Linked DNA regions of Alligator mississippiensis. The protein of the gene in region 1 purifies or fractionates together with the protein of each later gene. This does not show direct contact. Links are inferred from orthologs where the notes say so. Each region holds a gene or a part of one and is shown on either strand. Other genes may lie near its edges.

Region 1 (11,929 bases):
ACGATGGCTGGATTTTAAAAACATGCTCTATTTTTGAGAGAGATGGTATAGATCAGTAATGCCCTCATTTAAGTGTAGGAAATCTCTCAAATTGGTAGAAATTCTACCATTTTATATGTAAAAAAGCTTTTTTTAGTGTAAGTGCCTAGCCTGCTCTATATATAGTAGATGGAAGTTGGAAGGCTGTACGACAAGTATGGAGAGGGGGAAGACAGACTGGAAACATGTGATAGGTCTGGTGGGGATGATCCTTTGGTGTAAAAGCACTCAGTTGACAAGCTGTTAATTATACTTATTCATTTAACTGGCTGCAACTTAATGATCAGAGACAATGGAAAGTTAAAAGAACTGGTGGGGAAACAATGGATTTTAAAAAAATAAAAATTCTTTTTTTTGTAAATCAACAAAGGATCCTAAACAGTCTTTTTATAATATAAAATATAATAATTAACTCTTCCGAAACACTTGGAAATCCTTTGATTAGGCTACCTATAGGAGTGTAAACTATTATTATTTATTTAAGACCTCTCACATTTCTCTTCACTTCTTCTCTTACTCCTCCTCCCCTTCACTTGTGTGTTGGAAAGATCCTATTTACATTCATTAATATGTGGGCAAATTCCAGAGAGGAAGGCAATTGGAAGACCTGGGATAGAAACAAGAAGGGATAAAAGAATAAATACCTCCAGCTTATTCAGGGTACTATAAAGAATTGTCCTATGCAATGGAAAAAATAGATGCATCATTGACAATATGGAGTAAAATAGATTAAAATTTGGTATTGTGTCTTTACTATGTAGAGTCTTATTTGATGTTGGTGTTAATGTATATTATACCCAAACACATCCTAAAGTATACATGAATGTAGAATGTCACACATAATTTTAGTCTAATATAATTATATACTGGGCTTTCCATTTTTAATAGAATACACTATTTAATTGTTTTCATTTAAATACAGAGTACCTCTTGATGACAATGGTACGTCTATCCTGAGAACTACTTTTTCTGAGATGGGATGGGAGGTGGCAGTAGGATCTGTCCCTGTTGTAGAGCACAGTCCATATTGCAATCAGCAGAAATTCTAATATAATAAAAGCCTTAGTCTGTCTGTCTCTCTGTCTGTAATGCTTTATTCGCACTCTGATTGGTTGTCTCAGCAGCCAATCACACTCCTGACTGAAACAACCAATCAGAGTGCTCCAAGAGTGTTCCGGACAGGAAGTGGTGGCAGTGGTGTGGCAGAGCACTGCCATGACAGCAGGGATGGAGGGAATGGAGTGGGGGGGAGGGGTGAGGCCAGTGCTGCTGGCCTTGCTCCCCCTAGCCCTGCTTCCTGGAGATGGTGGCAGAACGGGGTGCTGGCTGAGGGGGACGGCAGGGCAAGCTTCCCTCCCACCCCTGCTTCTGGGAGGTGGCAGCAGTGTGGGGTGGTGGGTAATGGGTGGTAGCAATGCGTAGGGGATGCACAAGGGTACACGTGGACCCCCTGAGGGCGCTAGTGCACCCTCTAACAGCCAGCACTCTCCGCTTAGGTGACAGGCAAGGGGGCAGACGGGAGTGCCCTGGGAGCACTAGCTGGGGAGTGGGAGCACTGGATGAAGCACCGCAGCCACTTCTGAGAGTGCCCTGGCCACTTTTGGTAGTGCCACGGCTGCTTCCCGTTCGGCACAATCGACCGCGGAGGGACTCCCCCCAGTCAGCGAGATTGGCCATGGGGGAACCCCCAGGTCACTGGTGGGGCACATGCCCCCACTGACTAAGGTGGCACCAGTTGCCCATGGTGGTAGCGCTCCGTCCCCACCTGCCCTCCCCACCCATCATTCCTGACAGGCAATTGACTAGTCTTGTATATAAAGCCTGGGGTAGATCCAGAGGAGATGTGGTTGTTGCAGTTGCACCCTTTTTAGACCATGCCACTGAGCAGCAGCCAGGGATGTTTAAGTCCCCAATGCAGGTAAGAATTTCCCCTTCACCCTGCTGAGTGGCACGTCCCTTCTGTATCTATTCCCTCTCTCACCTGCCCACTACTGCCCCTGTCCCCCGCTGACCTGAGGGTAAGGGAAACTCCAGAGATGCTCCTGCTCCTCCCTAGCTAGGGTGCATGGGGAGTCAGGGACCATGGCAACAGCAGCAGTGGGAAAATTCCTCCTACATGCCCAATCCCCTTGCATGTGCCTTACCAACCTGCGAGCAGGCTCAGAGAGGGGGAACCCATCTGCCACCACCATCCCTGCTGCTGTCCTTGTCTGAGCTTCCTTCACAGCCCAGCTGGGATGGGGCAGGAGTAGCTGTGGAGCTTCTCCTGCCTTTGAGTCAGCCAGGGACAGTAGCAGTGCAGGGAAGAAAAGAAGGACAATGAGAGAAGGGAAGTGCTACTGAGCATGGAGAGGCAGGGTAGGGAGTCAGGATTCTTACCTTATTTGGGAACTTAAGAGCTGCCTATAGATGTGCTTGTTCACATTCTAATTAGAAAGCTCCAGTGTCACTTTACCTTCATGTGTATTAAGCCCCACCACATTTCAAAATGTCCACAGGGGAGCTTTAACTAAATTCTGTCAAATCAGCTTTAGTTAAAACACCCCTGTGGCCATTTTTAAACACAGGGGGGCTTCATACACATGACGACGAGCTGGTTTAATTAGAGCAGCTGTCTGGTAGCCACTGTAATTAAAATGCCCCCCCACCACCGAGCACATGTACAGGCAGCCAAAATGTCCCTGGCTGCTGTTCCCATGGTGGTCTGCCCACCCCAGTGGAAGGGGTATAGTCTGAAAGTAGGTGGTGCAGCTACCCCTGCAGTTCCAGTTGCTGCTCCTTCCCCCCCACCCCCTGCCCGCTTTACAAAATGCTGGATCTGCCTATGCTTATAGCCAACATTTTAGTGTGTTTGTAGATACCTGAAAGAATACATCAAGATACAATAATTTAACTATATTTATCCAATTTCCAAACGCAGATCAGCAGCCAGATTTTGCCAGGATATGTTTCAATGGACATTGTGGGTTTCAGAGTCCCTGAATGCATCAGATGAAGTAGGTTGTACCCAATGAAAGCTCATGACTTTCTGAATGAGTTAGTCTGTAAGGTGCCACCTGTTCTACTTTCTGCCTTCCTTCATATAGTGAATGTATTTTTTCTGATTAGGCCATTAACAGTTAAGTGATATATTGTAAGAGAGGTGATTATTCTCTCTTTTTTGAGCTAAATATGTTGATGAGGAATGCCATGTCTGTTAGGATCATGTCTTTTGATACTACCACTGTGACCTTATATATTAAGATTGACAAGTAAATGCCATGTGTTTTTAATTATATTTTTAGTACATACAAGATATGCATTAAATACTTCTTAGGGTTAAGAGTAATTTAGGTTCATAGTTATGGCAGGAGATAGTTTTAGGGTTGTTTTACTGAATTTTAACTTAATATGACATATGTTTTTCTCCCTAATGAGTTATACTCAGAAATGAATATTGCTCCATGGAGACTTATGGGGCTTGTCCCAAGAAGTGTGCACATGCATTTGCAGCGCCTCAAACCCCTTTTGAGGCATCAGAGACCGCACATGGCACATGTGCACCTGTTCACTGTGCTACTGATTTCCAGTGCAGCAGTTTTGTTTGACACTGGTAGATCCTGGTGTAAAAAAGGAAACCTGCTGCTAAAAAAAGCAGCGCGGTGAATGCAGCAGCAGCGTACACTGCCAGAAACAGAGCCTGACTGACCAGTCACACTCTGGCTGCTGACCAGGTGCTGAGTGACTGGCCCCTTGCTGCTGCTGCTCCAAGAGGCCCCCAGGACCTCAGGTGAGGCTGCTGGAGCCAGCACAGGTGGCCCCAGCCTCCCCTACCCCACCTAGATCAATTTTCCATGTGGTGGAGTGCACACACAGGGACGTTCCCAGGGACAAATAGCAGCGGCACACCCCTGCATGTATGCATTCATTGGAACATGCCCCATGGATTTGCATTTGTGACCCTCTCAGCGTTAGACATTTACATTTCAGTTCTGTTTGGGGGCATCATGGTGGAGAGATTGAGCTTGTTGTGTTATGTTTGTATGTTGGACAAATTTCTTATATATGCAGTAGCTTCCTGTAACATATAACAGTTATGGTGTTTTGAAAGATCACAGTTTTCAATTTATATCTGCATTGAATTTTTGTGAAATAGGTGAGATAATAGAGGTTGATTTTCCTGCCAAATACAGTACCAAGGTATTTCAGATAGTATCTGTCTCAGTAGGGCTCTTGTAGGAAGCCATGCCTATAAAGGGAGTTTGGTTGGTTTATTAAATATTCCCTAGCTAAGGACTTTTTTTTCCTACTCCTTTGATATTAGGTCATTTGCTCCTCAAAGGTGTCTGCCTCAAAGTGAGCAGCAGGTGATAAAAAATTAAGAATAGTAACATCTCCTTCCAGGTGTCTTCCCGTTCTTTATAACCCATCCCTATTTCTTATCAATCATAGCTAGGACCTTGGACTGTAGCATAGCTGCCTTGGGGAGAATTCCCAGCCTGTTCTCTTCTGCTGGAAGATAGTGTGAGGTTGCTCATATGAGTAATAGCAACCTTGATCCCTGGCTACTGAGAGGAAATGTGAGTTGCAGCCCTTCCTGTCTTTGGGTATTACTTAGGGGCCCTCAAACAGGTTTCATAATACATTTCCTAGAATAGCAGGTGGCCCTCCTGAAACCACTGCCTTTCTGCCAGTGACAAACTAACCCTTCCTAAAGGTATTTTTCCTAGAAAAGTATATTGATGCAATAGAGTTCCCTTCCTGTATGGCCACTAGGCCTATTATAGCACTGTTCTGTGTATAGCAATCAGAACAAAGCATCTTGAATAAAAATCAACTACTTAGGGAGTCTTCACATACCTGTTTGAAGGATGACAGTGTGTTTGAAACATGTCTAACAACTGTCTCAATGCCCAAACTGCGTTTTGTGAATAGCAAGCAAGAGAACAGCAAGCCATATATACTTCCAAATGTAACCCATTTATTTTCATTGTAGGACATCTATTACAAGAGTTGCCTTTTTTTCTATATCATTTTCTATATCATAAAAATGCTTTCCTACCATGACAAGTGACGCTGTAAAAATGTCCTGGTGGATTTCCAATGTATTTTTCTCATTTATTCCCAATTCTGATATTCTCATCTTAATAAGATTTTTGTTAAAGGCCATCTCTGAAAGTTTCATCTGTAAGAACCTACCAAATTCATGGTGGAAGTGGGCTGCATAGCAATCCTTTAATCTTACATGTTCCCCCATGTGCCGCCCTGCTGATGGGTGGAGGGACCCCACCACTTGCTCCTGATCAGCAGAGAGGAGAAAACCGCAGTATTAAATATGGTGCCATTTTTGCCTCCCGGCCAGTCAGCAACAAGCAGCAGGGCCACTGTGGCCCCTCAGCCAATCAGCAATGTGGGGAGGGGGGAGTACGGGGGAACCTGCAAGATTAAAGGAGTTGCTGCATGGCCCACTTCCACCGTGAATTCAGTAGGTTCCTCTTCATCTGGGAAGCAAGAGCCAAGCTGAGGATTTTTTTTTTCAATTTGTTTATCATCTTCCTTAGTAAGAACCTTTGGACTTTTGGTTATGCCCTTGTAGCCATGTGCAGGCATTATTTTTCTACTGGGAGAACAAACTTTCATTCAGTTTCTCCCTGAGGGAAACATGCCCCCACTGGGAGAAAATTTTTGAGGAAGAAACTCTCCTGAAAAAATGAAAGCCGGTATGCTTCCCGCCCAGAATGGCCTGATCCCGGGGGGAGTAGAGCAGTGGGGCAAAGTCCCCCCCCCTCCCCCCCCAATTCCTCATGCCAGGGGCTCCAGTCTGGAGAGTAGGTCAGAGGTTTGCCCATTGCTCCCCCACTCAGCTCCTGTTACTGGGAAGAGTTGGGGAGCAGCTGATCCTTGCCCCTCTGCCCCCTCCTTAGATTGGGTCCTAGGGTTTGCCTTGCTGCTCCATTCCCTTCTTGGACCCTTCTGGGAGGGGACTGGAGCAGCCCCTGAAGCGCCTTTTCTACACCCCAGAATGGGTGGAGGGCTTTGCCTCTCCAGTCCAGGAGGAGACTGGAGCAGCCCCGGCTCCCCATGCCTTGACTGGGATCACCCCAGCTGGGGAAGGCATGGAGAGAAGGGAAGAGAGGGTGGTTGCAGGCTTGCTCCCTCTCCCAGAATGATTTCTAGCAGTAGAAGTTTCTGAGAAATTTTCACCATGAGAAATTAACTCCTTTTTGAGGCCATATTCTCCCAAGTAATACTCAGTGCTACTGGTGTCAACCCAGAGCCTCCCTGGCCAGGCTGCCCCAGGGTTAGCACATAAGAACTTAGTAAATGGTTCTGTTGATGTGGTACAAAAAGAATAAGATCTGCTTGCATCTTTGCTGTGCTGCCAGGGCTAGCAGGAATGAAAAAGCAACAGCCTTATTTTAGTCAGGAAAACATGAGAGAAGACATGACAATGCACAGAGAAGGTGAAGCTTTTAGTTAAGATGCCTCTATGGAGTCTTTTTCCAGATGGACCTGAGAGCAAATGGGTCTGGACAACAAAAATTCAAAGAGAATAACACTGCAGTCTTTGTGGCTTGGTCAGTACCCCAGACTTCCTGTGCACCTACCCCTGTATAGTAGTCAGCAGTGGTAGTGGCTCACTTTCGTACTTGTCATTTGTTTGTATAGGTCATGAATCTTTAATATCATACTGAGCTTATTCGTACCTGTTGTACTACTTGCTAGCCTTCAGGATAAAATTACCAGGAGCACTCTTATATCTTTAAATCTCTTTTATTTGAGAGCCAGAGTAGCAATGGCCAAAATGCTAATGATCTCTGTAGCTTCTTTTTAATTGTAAACACTGGGCACTGATAAGAATGAAAACTTCATCCTTTGTTCTGAAAGAGGTTCTTACAGGTTTCCTAATTAGACCATTTTTTTTATCTGATTCTCTGTCACTTTTCTTCTGAGGCAGACAAATAGACAGTAGGATAGACAAATGGACAGATAACAGCACCATATCCCTGTCAGAACTCTATTGATCAATTTTTGGTATAAGAAGACGTTTTTGGAAGACATTTATTAGAAAGACGACTAAATGACAAAGTGGCCAGCAGTTTGTCAGAGTGGAACAAATAATTCCACGTTACTCAGATGAACATATTAGCAACTCTTATTGATGATGGGACATTTCCTAGAATATGATAAGTGTGAAACAATTTGAGGTTTTATTGCTGTTGGTTGCTCTCCACTTCTGCTGAAAAGAGCTGATTGAGATCATTAAGCTGCAGGTAGGCAGTGCCTCTAGAGTGTAAGATAGGAATGTGTGTGCGCGCTGGTGACAGCAGACTTTGCTCAACACCTTCCTCTCTCTCTCTATAAATTGCAGGTTTCAGTGGATACCTGGCTGATCTGTTCTCACTGTTGTTGGGGAAGAAAGAAGTGGTAAGTAAAAGCAACTCAGGCAAACTTCCCTTTTTTAAAAACTTTAAAGTAATTTGTATGTTAAGTTTCAGACTGTTTTGCAGGTCACATGAAATAGCAGCAGAGAGATAAAGTAGTGGAATTGGAATTGTACTTCAAAGTATAGTCAAAGTTTTAAATATTTTGGAGGGTATCTTTTTGGTTGTATTCCCTTAATTTTTTTAAAACGCCAAAATTAAAATTGATTATAAATGCATGCCACTGTAAATATCTTCTACAAGGAGGACAGACTTTTTCACATAGAATTCGAAAGTCGAGCTAAGAGGTATGTTAGCAGTGGTAAAGAATCAAAAGTACAATAACTGCCTGCTGTATCAGGAAAAGTATTTAGTGTTTTACTTTCTTTAGAAAACAGAGAGTTTAATCAGAAATAATCAGTAGGATCGGATGCTGAAAAATGCCTAAGCTGCAATCAGTGAAGCATCAGCAGTCATATGTTACTACATAAAATCGTACAAAAGGGCTATGTAAAACATTATTACACTAACAGGCTATTCCAAAACCAAACATTTTTAATGTTAATTCAGTTTAATGCACTGAGGAAAGAGGAATACATTAGTCTAATAGAATCGGCTGAATTAATGTGACAGAAGACAGAAATTTGACTGATATTGGAGTTTTCATTAGTGGCTTTTATTAAGTCAATAAAACTTTTCAATGCTGTTCAGTTTCTTTTCTTGAGATTCTTTACCAAGTCCCTCAGCCTAGGTATGGGGGCAGGTATCCATTTTAATTATATTGTTTTCTTGTGGTGAAGAACTTTTTTCCCGTTCCATTCTAAAGAATTGTACCACTTGTTACTTTCAGATACATTCCAGATTATTCACTGAAATCGTGGTTGATATGGTTCTGTTAGCTAGAGTACTGGTTGTGAATGGATAGATATTGGCAACAAGTGGATATTGTGAAGTATTTGCTTTATTTCTGCACTGGCTTAGACATTCATTTATTTACTAGTGTACGCTGTTCTTGGTTTGGTTTTGTTTTTTCATGGTTTAGATTCAGTTCTGTGAGACAACCAGAGATCTAAGGACTCCAATAAAATAAAATATTTATATATTAGCAACTGTATTTAGCATTTGTCCCCTGCACTTTCCCTTCCACAACAGAGAGGTTTGATTAAAAACATTACATCCTGGTTAAACTTGGTAACTTGAATGATACAAATAGTCCTATTGGAGTGATGATAGCTGAAGCAAAGAAGAAACTTGCCCTTAGCACAGTTGAATCATTGCTTGTATCTGTTATAATTATTACCTGTTCTCTCACATTTATGGCAATAGGGCGGTAATGCTATGGATCCATGTCCTCATCTTGTCTAAACTGGTTAGTTAACTTCAGTGGTGCTACTCTAGTTTATGCTGACTAAGAACCTGGTCACCTATAAGATGTGAATTTTATCTCTGGTTATGTGTTTTGAAGTTACACATATTGCACGCATCTTCAATATGTATGTGGAGAAGGCCTGAGACATACCTATTCACTAAAGTATACTTGTTGAAATAGTATGAATGCAAATAGAGCTGAATATCAGATGAGCTGCAAAAAAACCCAACCAAACCCCCCCCCCAAACCCCAAAACTTTCTGAAATAAACATCTACAACGTGGATAATAGCAATAATGCACTGCATTTTAGAAAAGTAAAAGAAGCGAGAGAGTAGCCTGCTTGAAATGGATACCTTGCTTTGGAAACTGTTTGATGGGTCTGGAAAAAAATTTACATGCATGATAGTCTAGCTATTCACTGGGTTTATTAATGGTTGTATTTGAAGTACTGGTATATGGTTCACATAGAAATCCTATTTCTTCTCACTTCTACTTTGCAGTTTCCATGTAATTTTGATTTTCTTAATACTATTGCTTCACATTACTTGTTTCAAGTACAACTTGTCCTTTCACTGAACTGTCATGGATGGAAAGATAAAAACAATACTGAGTACACATGTGCAGTTGGTAGTTTATATCCCTTATGTTAAGTCCAGCAAAATAAGTGACTTGTGACTATTTTAAGGTGAAATAGAGAATTATTGAAGGTTTAGGTCTGTAAAACAGAAAAAAGTAGTAATTTCATGAGTCACTCAGGAATGTAATAGTCCCAATACTGCTTTAAGTCTCTATGGGCGCTGGAGTAGGGATTGCGCATCTTTTATAATTAAAGGCACCCAAAAATAGTGAGCACTGTTGGAAGCAAATAATAAATAATAATAAAGGAGAAGGTCAAGAGTTGCAACCAAAGGAGCACACACTATGGCATGTGAGGATTTATTGCATCATTCATTGAGACAGACTGGATTACAGTTTGTGTGGGCATTAGTTTTCAGACCTTTGAAATGCTAATTTCATATAAAATGCATGGAATATTTTGACCTACCACTTAAAAAAAGAGAAAAGGTGTGTGGGGGGTGGGGGGTTGCTTCCATTTCAGAGCTTGCATCAATGTAGCACTGAGGTGACAGCCACCTAAAGTAGCATTGACAATCATGAGTTATGTGTTCTAAAGTAAATTGTTATTGAGGATTATGATCTTGATTCTCCACTATCTTGCACTTTGTATATCAGCATACAGAGGATCTAAAATGCTACTTATTCTTATGCTCAGGTGCAAGGGAGTAGAGTATATGGTTATGATCCTGCTTTTCAGCTGCTTTTCAGTGCTTAGGGTTTTTTAATGAATATTTTTCCTCAAATATTAATGCTTTCCTTTGGGGAAAATAGTTGTCTTTGAAAGGAGCGCTTTTGTGATAATACCTGTTACATGTTGGGGATAGATATATGCTATAACAATAGCAAGAAGCTGTGGGTTAAAATTCTAATAATCAGTCTGACTTGTGGCTAAAAGTTACTCTTCCCACACACTTCACAGGGTTAAGTTGTCATCTTGCAGGGTTGCTTCCAGAAATCCACATGTTTCCATTGTCAAAGATCCTTGATAACATTAGCCAATCTGCTTTGGCTGCCAGAGTGATATTTTCCTGGGAAGCACAGATGCTGAAAGTAGTTAGTTGTAGGGACTATGGTATTCAAGCTGTACTTGCCAACACAAAGTTTGATCAGGACTGAAATTGATTATTTTTATATGTATTGATCTTATTTTATATATCTATATAGCACCTCTGCCCTGCCTCCAAAGGTACTTTGTATTGCCAAGATAAGTGAATATTCTAAAATAATAATAGTAATAAAAACATATGACCTACCTGTCGGTGTCTAGACATCATAGTGTTAATAAAAATCTCATGAAAATATTTTCTATCCAAATGCTTCAGTTCGGAAGACTTAGTTTAGGGGGAAAAACGCTTTCATTAGATGGAATTTTCTAATCCGTATTTATCACACCAGTTCAGTTTTCAGGCTGCTTCTGTAATAGGGGAGGTTAAGCCCTTGAATTCCATCTTGAATATGGATGTAGGAAAAGAGCTGTAAATGTATTAAGTGGTGTGTTAAACCCATCCCAACCCTGAATTTCAGATGCTTGCTTATAGTTGCAGTTGATTTTAAGACGACTATTACTAAGCACTTATATCATTCAAAACTCTTTTAATGCTGAATGTGTGCAAGGGCAACTTGTTTAACAAGACTGAGTTCTTCTGACATGGGCGGGGCCTTGAGGTTGTTTGGACATGAATGACAACATGAGAGTTGCTCTGAGCAAATGGAAAAAACACTGTTGAAACCAGCAAGTGATATTCTTAGCTGTTTAAAGATCCATCTCTATGCACCTTCCAAGTTGCCATATCCACTCTACTGATGAAATCCTGCACATTATAGTTGTGTAATAGCTTCCTTGTTGCTAGCAGAATTCTCTCAACAGGTATGGAAGAGGAATATTTTTCTTATAAAAATGCCACAAAACTGTACTATTGACTATTACAATAGGCTTTGAGCGATCATGCTATCTGACATTCTCCCTCAACCATGGGCTACACAATAGGAGCATAATTGGTGACTAATGGGGGCCACCTAAGGGGCAACCCTGTTCCAATATCGGACCTAGATATTAGCCCATTAAGTGTGGGATTAAGTACTCTTCTTTCAGTGGATGCTGTTCATGCTTGAATCTTGTTTATAGCACAATAGCAATCTTCATACTGGCTTATTGGGGCCTTATCTTAACTGACATAGGGATCCTGCTGGTGGTGAACATTTTACCCAAGTTCTCCCACTGTTGATTTACTGTGGATGCCAACCAGTGCTGGCCTGTGAAGAATCAGCAGGGTAGACCTGTCACTACTGCTTTTATCCCCCTATCATACAAACTTGTTCACAGTAAGGTACAATAGATAAAAATGCCTATACTAATCTAAATTGGGACTCCCAATAGTGCTACCTAGGGTAGACCTGCAACAGCGACAGTACAAATGTAAGGTATTTCCTGAGAAAGGCTAGTGAAAATGCAGCCTAAGGGAGCAAAGGACCTTTGTACCAGAATTTTTCCCATTGTTG
Region 2 (12,167 bases), on another chromosome or scaffold:
ACTATTTCCAATGGGTTTAGACTGGTGATTCTCCACCTGGGTGCCACGCCAACCTAGGGTACCTGGAGATCCTTTCAGAAGTGCTACAAAGTTAGCACACAATGTTAGTACTGCTAGGTGTGCAAGTATGATTCACAAGATAAACTCAAAAGATTTCAAATGGAAATCTACAGTTGTGGCTTCTGAGTGCTTTGCAACAGAAACGCCTCCCCCCCCCCCCCCTCACTCTATTATTTTTCTGTAGTAAAAAAAAGACTGAAAACTAAGAGCTGGCATTTCCTAAGGGCTGTCACAAGTATATTCAGGAGTGCCTTGAGTCTAAAAAGCTTGCGAACCACCAGGTTAGATATTGCACATATATAAAGCACTAAGCCATTGCCTCAGGCAGTCCTAGTCCTGCTGCTGTGTAAAGTATCTGAGGTCCTGGGCAGATAAACATGCACAGTGGTTTACTTGGAATTATACTGGTGAAAAAAGCACTGTGTACTATGTAAATGCATCGCCTTGGGGCTTGAAAAAAGCCTGTGTACTTAGGATATGCACCCATCCAAACGTAATATAAGCAATGCTTTTTAAGGACCCAGGGCTGTTACTAATGTGTTATTAGCAGCCTCAAACCTGATTACCTGCTGACGTTTCCAACTTGATAGGTCTGGTGCTACTATTAGCAGCTTTGATAATGAAGAAGGCTAGTCATGTGAGGCACTAATATCATAGTGTTGAGAGTGCTGTGTCCTTAAAGAGCACTGGTTACAGCTCTGTCTGTGCGGTGATACCAGCAACCCCAAAACTGATAAGCTCCCCTCATTTTCGACGGTCTAAAGCAGCCCTTTGACAGCTGCTTCCCTTTCACTGTTTCTGGCCCAGGGACTGCAATTAGTTACTAAGGAGACCCTGACAGTTTAATTAGTGTGCAACTAAGGAGACAACAATCAAGTTACAAGGTAGTTGGGCTGAAAGATTCTGTGCACTTAAGCAGTTTATGCACTTAACTGATATGCACTTAACCAGGCACTCTCTTGTGAGATGAGAAACATGGCTCCAAATCAGGTGGAGGAAGGATCTGAGACCAGATAGGCGAGTGCTCCAACTACTGATGCTAAAGAGAGATAAGGGATGCCTCCTTTCCCCCGCAACAGGCTGGCCTGGTTTTGATACCTTATTCCAAGAGGGAGGTTCATGCCTATGAATTCTGAGAAAAGTCAGTTTTCTAGCTCTTGGAGAGATGGGGATTAAAACAAACCTCTTGTCCTTTCTCACTAGCTAGCTTAATGGGTGCTCCACTCAAGTGTGCTGATTTTTTTAAATACTGTTCTTAATAGCATTCTTAATACTATTCTTGACACTCTGAACCAGTGTCTATTAAAGTTCTGCTTGAATTGTATAGGGAGCCTAGGTGCAAGACTACAAGTCTTCCCTGGCACCCAAGGATCCAACAGTGCTCCTAAGGGCCTGTGTGAGTCTAGCCTGATATTCTTTAGGAGCCTGTACTAGATCCAGCTTCCCACACTAGCTGCACAGTCAAACAAAAGCTGTTGTTTCACAAGGCGATAGAATCAAATGGTTAAAGTGGCATGTGGCAGTAATATGAACACCGAGAATCACAGAATCACAAAGTGGGAAGGGACCTCCAGGGTCACTAAGTCCAACCCCTCACTTCAGGATACAGGCGTCAACATCGGACCGATTCCTCCTTCAGATCTTTTACACTGCACTGCTATCTAATCAGAGGTTCCTCCTCCAAAGCCACATGCCAGACCTCAAGTTCTTGTGCGTGTGAATTAACCTGTCAATCATATTTTGAAAAATCATATTTTTAGTCAGAATTATTTCCCATCTTCCTCTCAGTTCCTTTGGATAAAGTCATTGTCTCTCCTATGTGCTTTTAAGAAGGAATAATTTTCATAATATAAAGGTACCTTAACAAGTGATGGTAACAGAGAATTATACATCCATATGTAGCCCAGGTCAACAAAGCCCAAAGCTATTACAGTTCAGTGGCAGATGGGCAGTCTATGCGAAAAACACTATAAAGACACAAGCCTACCAGCTCCTTATTAGCTGTCTCAATAGCAAGGCCAAGCACTGGGTGGACCACAGAGCTTGAATTAGTCAGTCAGCTGTACTTGGCAGACGGACAAGATTCATGTGTTTACAGGAAACCTGCAATCCAGTAGTTCTCACTCTGTGTACTATGACTACTCAAGTGGCCTGAAGACATTCTTGGCAGGCCCATGGCATAAAACATTGCGAGAACCTTGTAACAGGACTTTAGAAGACAAAGGGGTCCATACTGAGAATATTGTCCTTTACAAATTGCCCCATGTACTGAAAGAGCTAGAGAAGGACTGATATAATCGCCTGAAACTCATCACGTCCATCAAACAGTGCCCCTCAATGTACCTTCTGATACAACCCTCTTCACCCCTCTTCCCAGAAGTATGGCTACCTAAACAAACATCAGGAAGTCCCAAGGTGTGGTACTAATTGCCTGTTGATTTAAACTTTTGGATATTGCCAATGGGTTTTGTTGTCTCCCACACCCTTCTGAGATGCCTTAGTCAGGGTATCTCTGTGCCTCTATTTCCCCTCCCTTCATTTGTCTCTTGTCTATGTAGATTGCAAGGGACTCTCTCTCACAAAGTGCTTATGCAGCAACCAGCAGAGTATGACCTCAATCTTGATTAGACCTTTTGGCAACTTTGGTGATGATGATTCACCCTCACATGCAAAGTGCGAGCTCACTACCTGGGAGGATTTACTTCCTACCTACAGTAAAAAGGTTCATCCTCATTCACACAATCCAGAAAGTAGAAAGCTGCTCAGATATCTAAGCTCCTTGCAAGGAGTCTGCTCAGTGTTGCTTATTCCTGTAACTCCTGAACTTTCTCCTTGCCTCATATTTGGCCTTGACACCCTGAACCAGTGACTATGATCCTTGAACTTGCCAGATACCTGGGCTCTTCAAACTGTTGTAATATCAGAACAAAGTCATAGTAAACAACAAAGAGCAATAAACATCAATACATGGAAAACAGTGCTGGAAATAAAGTATAAAGTACAGAACAGAATAAACTTAGGGCCTGAAGAACTATTGTGGTCATGGAGGCTGATTGTCTAATCACCAAGGAGTTCCTGCAGCAAGCCCATTGTGTCTGGCTCAGCTATGGCATAGCCTTAGAGAAATCAGTCGGCCTTACTTTAAAGATGCCAAAATCCTGGAGAATCCACTCTGTTCCCAGATAAGCTATCCTAGTGATTTATTACTGTTAAAAATGGCACCTTATTGCTAGTCTGAACTCCTCTTTGCCTTTGCCTGCTAGTTCAAAGAGCCATCTACTGTGAGAAATCAACTCATTACCTATGTAAAGCTGTAATCAAATCATGAGTAATGTGAGCCTTTGTGTTTCAGTTATTATTATTCAATATTTATGTTGTGTGTTTCTATTTGTGTTGTGTTAAATGGCCCTGCTCAGGGTGACAGTCCCACTGTTCAAGCTGCTGTACAAAGCCAGCAGAAAACATGGAACCTGCCCTTGCAATCGAAGCAGACAAGGAAAACATATGAGCAAAAAACACGAACAAAACATTAATGTAGGTAAAGATTTTATTTCTCCAAGCCACTATGCACTGCAGCCTCCTTCCTCTCCCTGGACATTGCTAAGCCACTACGTTCACCTTCCATCCTTTCCATCCCATAGGAATACTTACTTCATTTTGACCCTTAACATTTTAATTTCATTTTATTTTATTAATATTGTGGTAGCAGGTCATCCAGGTCAGGGCCCTACTGTAATAGGTTCTGTATGTTCATACAGTACATGACAGTCCTTGCCCCAAAGAGCTTGCAGTCTGCTGTCCCTTTTGCTCCCAGCCCCTTTAGCTCCAATAGGTAAAATCCTTTTACTCCTGCTGTGCTCATTGGCTGAGCTTTGTGCCCCAGGTTGTCTTTTCCCAGTCAAAGCTGCAAGGCGAAGTCTAAGACATGCATGGCAGTGACCACACAGGCAGATGTGTCCTCTGACACACAGGCCTGTGCACTGGGAGCTCCACACAGCTGGGGCCAAATTCTCTGCTGCTGTTTCTACGCTGAAGCAAGTGGAATTGCAACAGCTGAGATGTTGGCCCTTGGTCTATTTTTTTCCCCTCTCATTCTTTGACAAATGGGAACAAAAATATACCATGCCAGGACCCTGTGGGAGAGGAGAAAGTATGCCAAGTCAAGTGAGGTCCCCTCTGCTGCTGGGCTTGAGTGGTTTGCAATCACATCATGAAAAACAGAGTCTCTAAAAAAACCCCAAAACAAAACAAAACAAAACAAAACAAAACAAAACAAAACATGGACACCCAATAGAGAGTGGTAGGGAGCTGGGGCTTGCTGTGGGAAAGAAGGAAAGCAAGCCTGAAAGCTTTTCAGTTGGTAAAGGACTTGGGTGTCTGGCCTGTTGTTTTGTTAAGACTTTCATTTTCCATGAACTTTCAGAGCTGTTTTTTTTCTTCAAGACATTCCTGCAGGGCCTGAGAAAGCAGGAATAGATTCTTCAAGAGCCAAAAAGACCCTCCATGAAGAGGAAGTTCTCCCTGGCAGTGGGTCATACTAATGAATGTGTTTGTGTCGCACAGTCTTTCCCCTTTACAAGCCTCTCCTCCTCCCTTCTCACGAGCAGAGGTGTTTCTCATTAGTTCTTCTCTAAACTGTGCCCTATTGATCTCTTCCTATTCCACTTCCAGTTTCGCTCATGTGGACTCTCATCCCCACCTTTGCGCTTCACAATCTCACTCTTCCCAGGCTTTTCCTCTCAACAAACATGCTTCCTATCTCTCCTATCTTGAAAAAACCCACTAGACACTAACTGAAACTGCTCTCACCAGAGTCTCTAGTGACCTCTTCTTCCTGACTCTTGATATAGTTGATCAGGCTCTTCTTGAAATGTGGTTCTCTCTTGGCTTTTGGGCAGAGGCATAGCCATACAGCTCTGTGACTGAGACAGCTGTGTGGTGCCTGGGGCAGTGCCGGCTCCCGCTATGGCAATGGCTGGTTTTGCTCCACCTCCCCCCAGAAAGGGGGTGCCTGGGGATGCTGCCCTGGTCACCCCTCTCCTACTCTCCCTTAGTTATACTACTGGTTCTCCTCCTTTCTGATCACTTGTTCCTTGTGTTCTTTAGAGGATATTCCTCATTGCCCATCCAACTGTTGTGTTGCTAGTTGTATTCATACCGCCACCAATGTAATTGATCCATGGTTATGGTTAACATTCAAAAACAGTTAAGCGAGAATAAGCCATAGTTTTGAAGCTCATGGAAATTTTAGGCACTTGAAGCTCATGGAAAATGAGATTTCAGCTCCAAAACCTCTGAGACACTTGTGAAAATTTCACTTGGATGACTACAAGCCTATAATTTCTTCAGGATCTAGTGCCTCAAATGTAGTTCCTGTTCTCCATTTCCCAGGAGCTTCTTCATAGATTTCCTATCCAGGAAGATGAACATTTTGAGCTTGTTTCTCTGCTTTGCTTGATTCAGGTCAGCTGTGTCCACATTTTCATTTCCACAATCTTTCCTGAATGTGACTAACACTATCTGTCAGGCCTCAATGACCGGTCACATGTCTGAAAACAAAACAAACCCATTTACTACATTTCCTGTTGTTCTCTAGACCTCCCAGCCCACTGCTGTCTCCCACATCTGATAATATCACAGTAAAATTGTCAATGTACTTCCTTGCTTTGGTACTTTTTGATTACATGTCCCTGACTACAGGAAGGATGGTCCTGTAGTTAAGGCTGGGCTATTCTCAGTTCTTCCAGACACTTCCTTTGCGATCTTGGGCAAGTCACTTCAACCTCTCTTGGTCTCAGTTTCATCATCTGTAAAATGGGCAAATCTTTGCCTGCTTCCTGGAACAGTTGTAAGGAATTAGTGCTGGGGATTCTTGTCTGGCAATCAATACGGCAGGGTAAAATATCATTATTTAAATGGGTTCTGATGTCCAGAAGTTTGGAGACAATATATCTGACCAGGCTCAGTCATCTTCAGCAGGAAGTCATGCACAGAGCTACATACATGTTTGGGAACCTCCTAGTTACCCCATTGTTCTGAAAACTTTCACTCCCCTTTCTCTGAAATAATATTTCTCTTAGCTGGAGAAGGAGAAAACCAAATGAAGATCCCAATGGGACAGGTAACACCTCTGTAGACTATGAAATGTAGGGAATGACTTTCATTCCAATTCATTTTTCCATTAATTACATTTTTGTCCATTATATAGATTTGGCCCAAATGTTCATAAGTGGTCACTGATTACAGCTGCTTCATTCTGGTGTATCCAAACTGCATGCCTTGCAGGAGGCTGGATGCTCAGAGAGCACTGAGTGCCTGTAGCTCTCATAAGCTTACATGCCTGCTTGGAAGGAATCTGAGCCAGGAGCTGTAAGGCCAGTGTGCATGGTTCATGCGATGCAAGTCCTTAAGGGGAGTGGGTTACATGTCCCCTTTTCTTGTGTTGCCCTACTAGAGTCAACCCCAACACAGCTGGGGAGCTGCATACCCTGCATGGCTAGCAGCGCCACCCAAAAAGGGGCAAAGAAAAGAGGATCTAGCATAATGCCAGCACCCTTCCTTTGGACACACAGGCCGGCCTGTGGCTGGATTGGGCATGTCCCAAGCCCCCATGGGTGCCAGGGTTAGCACATCAGTAGACACCCATTCAGAGCCCCAGTAAGAATTCTGGATGAGTCAGCCGAAATTCCTCCTGAGGACTCTGCTGCAATGCAGTCCCCTCGGTGCACCCTGTGGTTCTGAGCAAGGATCCAGCCTGCTCACTTGGCAATAGCCAGCAACTGAAACCTAAAAGCTGCTGCGGTGTCCCTTGCTCCTCCACACTGATCCTGATGATTCCTGAGCTATTGGAGTGCTGGTTTGTATCTGCAGTGTGTGTCAGTACTGAGCTGCGCACATCGCGTTTCACAGTGTGCTGCATGCAGAACGCATTCACTCCCTGAAGGGATCGGCTGGGGTTTCATATTTCATCTCCCTTGTATGCTACACCCGGATTCCAGTCGCTTTCTGGCTTCAGTGCTGGATGTACCCGGAGCACAGGTCCTTCCTCATATCTAGCAGTGAGAGACAATTCAAGGGAGGAGATCATGAAGACATCAATTTTATTTTTGCTTTGCCTCTTGGCTTTCCCAGGCTTTTCCCAGGGCAGGGTTGTCAGAGTGGATGAACCTGGCTTTGCTGAATGCAATGGATTCTTTTACAGAGAAACCCCCCCAGAAGGATTTACCGAGCCTTTCCATGTGAAAATCTGTCAGCGGTACAATAAAGAGCCTCGCTTTGCAACGCTCTACAGCACGGAAGACAAAACCCCTCTCTATTCTGCTTTTAAATACACAAAACCAGCCCAAAGTAGAGAAGAGAGCTGGTTGGTGGAACCACAGGTAAGTCAGCTTTTCAAATGATGGCAAAGCAAAGATTCTCAGGGGGCCTGAGGGTTAAGGGTTAAGTTACTCTGTGCTGTGACGGTTGGGATTTTGTGGGGGCAACGAAGCTGAAAAATCCTTCTGGATATTCATTTATTAAAAATAGTTCTTATTCATGTGCTGGGTGGTGGACAGACACATGACTCCTTGCCCTTTCCTGTCTGTCCTTCTGTCTAACTAGTACTCTGCACAGAGTCATTTGTGAAATCAAGCCATGACAAGGGATAATAGGGTTAAAATTTCAGTTACAGGTTTAAGTTTGTTTTGTCCCCAGTGTGACTCTGCAGCTGATAAGAGAGGGCTTTAGCTCCACTACACTGGAATAAAACAGACATCTGCGGTTTACCCAGTTGAGGCTGTGGGTATGTCTGTTGTAGATACGGTGTGGCTGGAGAGAGGGGTGGCTTATCCAATCCAGGAATATGAAGGTTTTCAGGCAAGTCAGGAATTTAGACTAAAAAACTGTTCCTGAATTGTCAGTCGCTCTTGTCTATCCTGATGTTTGCCTTGAAGTTAAGCTGATTTCCTGATGTTGTTATAGCACAGGGGTCATCCTTAACTGCCTCATTGCCTCAGAGAGCTAAAGACCTTCACTTTAATATTTGCAGTAGTCAGGGTTATGTAAGGAGTAAGTATAGGGAAGACTTGGTGACGCATGTATGTAGCCAACACTGGCATGGTTTACCCTCAATAATGATGTATATTATTTGTATGACAGTAACACCTAGAGGCTTCTGAGACCAGCGCCCTATTGTACAAGGTGCTGTACATGCATATAGGAAAAGAGTTATACTCTAAAGAGACAAAGACATTTGCTATTATTCTCAGTGTATGGGTGGCGTGTTGAGACAGGGAGGGAATGACATGGCTGAGCCAAGGTCACACAGGGAGAGCTGGAAGTGACTGCAGATATCTTGAAGCCCAGGCTTAGCCATGAACCCATCCTTCCTTGCTGCCACTGCTGGGGTTTTAATTTCTGGCTCTACCAGAAGCCCATTTATCTGTCATTTCTTTAATTTACACAGATGCCTATTGAAGGTGGTTGTTTGCTATTTAGAACAGAGCGAGGGCTTTTTAAAGGCTTTACAATTACTCAGCTGAAGAACCGTTATGAATTTTTAATAGATCCTTTTTAATCAAGGACTTCAGCAAAGGAACATCTGCCACTTGCATCACCTAGGTAGCTCTACACAATGCCAAGGGAGGAGGCCCTTGCCAGTGGCTGAGCCCCTCTGTCACACAATGCCTAGTGTTCCCACTGTCACTTCTCCCTGTGACAAACCCTCCTACAGCTCCCATCAGAGCCAAAGGCCCATCTTTCAGGTGCCAGAGCCGCCCACATGTCCCATTGAAAAGCCCTTCCTATCTGATACTCCACCCAACTGCCAAGCCCTCTTACACCTCCACCCAGTAGCAAGGGCTCTCTCAATCCAGTTTATTCACTGCCCAACCTCTTCCTTATAAGAAGCCCCAGTGGCCTAGCTTCCTGAGCACCCACTGCTCTCTCCCCCTCTCAGCTGCTAAAATTTCCTTGTCACAGTCTTTAGATTTCCTGCTTCAAAAATCAGGTCACTTTCTCTAGTGCTTCTCCCTTGGCCCCTCTTATTTTACCAGCCATGACTGCAGATTTCTGAGAAAGTGCTGCAGTGAAGAAACCACTGCATCCCTCAGCACTGTGCACTGAACTGTTTGAGACTGATTCACTGCACTCCACTCGTAGTTGCTGTGACTTTGTGCCAGTGTTGTGTCATTAGCTGCCATGGAATTGTTCAGGATTTACATCAGTGTCTGGGAGAGCAGAATCCAGCCCCACTGAGCCCTGGCTCACACTGGTGAGTGATGAACTGAGAGCCTTGGATTCCCCTTCCCTGGGCCAATCTCCTGGGAAATGTCCTAGATAAAAAAACACTTTGCAATTGCTCTAACAAGATTGCTTTGCCTGCATTTAAACGATACTCTTCTTGCTTGTGCTTCTTTGTTCTGAGTTTTCAGCCTCAACACATTCCTTAAAAGAATTTAATGTCCTGATTGAAATGACTGTCCCCTTTAAACACAAATATTAGCCCTTGATATAGAAAAGGCCACCAACATCCTGCAACCAGCATGCAGCCTAATAAAACAGCAGGGATTTCCAGGCAAAAAAAGCCTTATCTACAGAAAATATTTTTTTTAATGCAGACCACATTGATCATTGACATTAGTCAGAGCTGTGTCTGAGTAGGGATCACCATACTGTGCCCTAAAGGCCAGAAGCAATTCTCATGGTACTTTTTATTTAAGCACTTACTTGTTAGTCATGGGATGAATTGTGCTTGCAGCTACTCTATACTAAAGCATCTGGATATTTTAGAGATCCTGTGCTCTGCCTGTCTGTTTCATGACCACTATATATTTTGTGTTTCTGATTGCAGGATCTTTGGGATAGACCCTGTCATTTACTATGTGTCATGTCCATTTACCACAAGTACAATACCTAACACAAGAGGCCACCAAAATATGCTGACTTACCCACAGAGGGACAGAGTTGCAAGAATGTTAAGTTGCAAAGTCCAATGCACAACAGAGAGAAAATGCAAGAATTTAAGTTACCCGCTCAACCTTGTTTCATCCCATGCCCATTTATGCATGTGCATTACAGTATGGGCTTTAAGTACAAGATCACAGGCTGTTTCCCACTTTACAACTACCATACCAAAGGAATCCCCTTCAACAACCACTGAGATACAGCAGCTTTGTGGTGGAAGATACAACTGTTTAATATCTGTATAGAAATCATATAACAGGGAGTGGAGAAAAATGCCTGTGACATTTGATTGCATAAACCTGTGAGAAATTGGTTATTAGAATCACAATACAGGAGACTCCATTTTCCTCAATCCCACCTCTCTTACCAGCAATAAACAAGCATGAGCAAAGCAATCAGCTGCATGAGGTGTGCAAGGGAGGAAGCCAAGATGAATAATGATGAGATATTGCATCTGTTATAAGCTGTTCATATCAAAGTCAAGTCAAATCATTTGCTTTAAGGGAATCTTTGCACTGTGTACTGCCATGCAGCACATCCAAGAAAATAATGCCATCAGTTTTCCTCTGAATAACATTGTGACTGAGAACTGCGAAGTCAAATACGCTGAGAATGACAGTTAGGCATACATGCATGCTGTCAGGTGTGCTTTGTGCAGACATGCATACTCATGTACACATGAGTTGACACACACACAAACATACTGGCATAGTGAAAAATTGCACAACTTCATTATGCTCTGTGGAGTGACTAAGGGCTAGCGAATGTTATTTCATAATAGAGCATGCTGTAACTTGAAAGCGCACTTGTCTTATATAATGTCTACTTCTTCTGGAATGTATACATAAGAAATATTTGCCAAAAGCTGCAGAGAGGTTCTAACAGGATGCAAAATAAAAGGAATACCAGCATTGTCCATGACTGGCTGGCTGGGTGAGGTGTAACTATGCAGCATTTTTAACAAGGTTTAACAGGAAAGGTGGTCTAATTGTCAGGGCCTCATCCTGGGAGGAGAGAGGCAGGGCATGCTTGTTCTCTGGAGCAGAGAGCCCAGCCCAGGGCTGCAAAGCATGCTGGGATGCTGGGGGACTCTAGTTTAACTTAAACCAGGAAGGGGTCCAGGACAGACATTGCATAAACCATTTTGACCCAAATCAGTTAAGTCTGATACTACATTCAACCAGGTTTATCTTAAACCAGTTTCAACCATTTTGAAACTGGTTTATGTGCACTGAACTTATGTTCTGTTACAGGTTTAAACCAGTTTCTGATCACTTAAATCGATTTATGTGTAATGTCTGTCCCTAGCCTTGAAGGCAGAACCAGAACTAGTTTGACTCCAACTCACTTGCATAACTGTGCAGTGCACATGCAGAGCAGCATAGGTTTTTCCCTGGTTGGTGGAAGGCTGCCCTGGACTCTGGCCCTTTCCTGAGTAGCATTGCCTGCCCTAAAGCCAATGCACTGTTCCCTGCCTTCTTTTGCTTGCCTCTCTGGGTAACAATACACCCACAGGGTTGTTGTAAAGATAAAGACTAATGACTGAGAAGCACTCCGACACTATGGGATGTGAGGCCAGGCACATAACATAGGTATGGGCAGAGCTGTCCCTTGTGGGGGGTGCGAATCAGGGCAACAGTCCTAGGCCCTGCACTTTGGGGAGCCCCGCAGACAGTGCTGTACAGGCCCCACAGACAGAGCCATTGGCACGTGCCAAGGGTGCCACCATGCCGCACAACCACTGCGTGCCACTGGCTTTGCACTCTGGTCACTTGCCACGCCCCCTGCACAGGCCCCACACAGGCTGATATGCCCTGGGCCCCCCATGCCCCTGGGGTCAGCTCTGAGTATGGGTGTCAGCACTCAACAAGTGCAGCTTTATATTGACTGCAGAGGTTTCTGCAGCAGTGTAGAGTTAAAGATAGCTTCTACCTAAGCTTGAAATGATACTGGAATCAGTCTATGGGGGTTCTGTTAAGGAAGGCTGGGAAGGTGGAGATGAAGAGCACTTACATGACAAGAACTTGTTGCAGTGCAAAGTAGAGAGGTAGGATACCAAACTTACAATGGTGGGAGATGGTGAGAAAAGAGTCCTTGGTGTTGCCACCTGTTCCACACATTACCTGCTTCTGTTAGATGAACATATGGACAACTTTTCACAA

The links.
Region 2: the proteins of SLC34A2 (region 1) and ENDOD1 purify together in Homo sapiens (co-immunoprecipitation; 3 studies listed by BioGRID and IntAct, counting the BioPlex papers as one, with this or other methods). This does not show direct contact. The link is inferred for Alligator mississippiensis from reciprocal best matches to the Homo sapiens genes SLC34A2 and ENDOD1.

The regions. Positions count from the first base shown.
Region 1 is NC_081825.1:39,604,640-39,616,568, forward strand, and holds the start of SLC34A2 (sodium-dependent phosphate transport protein 2B), read left to right. Parts: upstream 1-7,338; 5' UTR 7,339-7,446; intron 7,447-11,929. UniProt on the Homo sapiens protein: Involved in actively transporting phosphate into cells via Na(+) cotransport.
Region 2 is NC_081824.1:447,175,801-447,187,967, reverse strand, and holds the start of ENDOD1 (endonuclease domain-containing 1 protein), read left to right. Parts: upstream 1-6,891; 5' UTR 6,892-7,145; coding exon 7,146-7,439; intron 7,440-12,167. UniProt on the Homo sapiens protein: May act as a DNase and a RNase. Plays a role in the modulation of innate immune signaling through the cGAS-STING pathway by interacting with RNF26.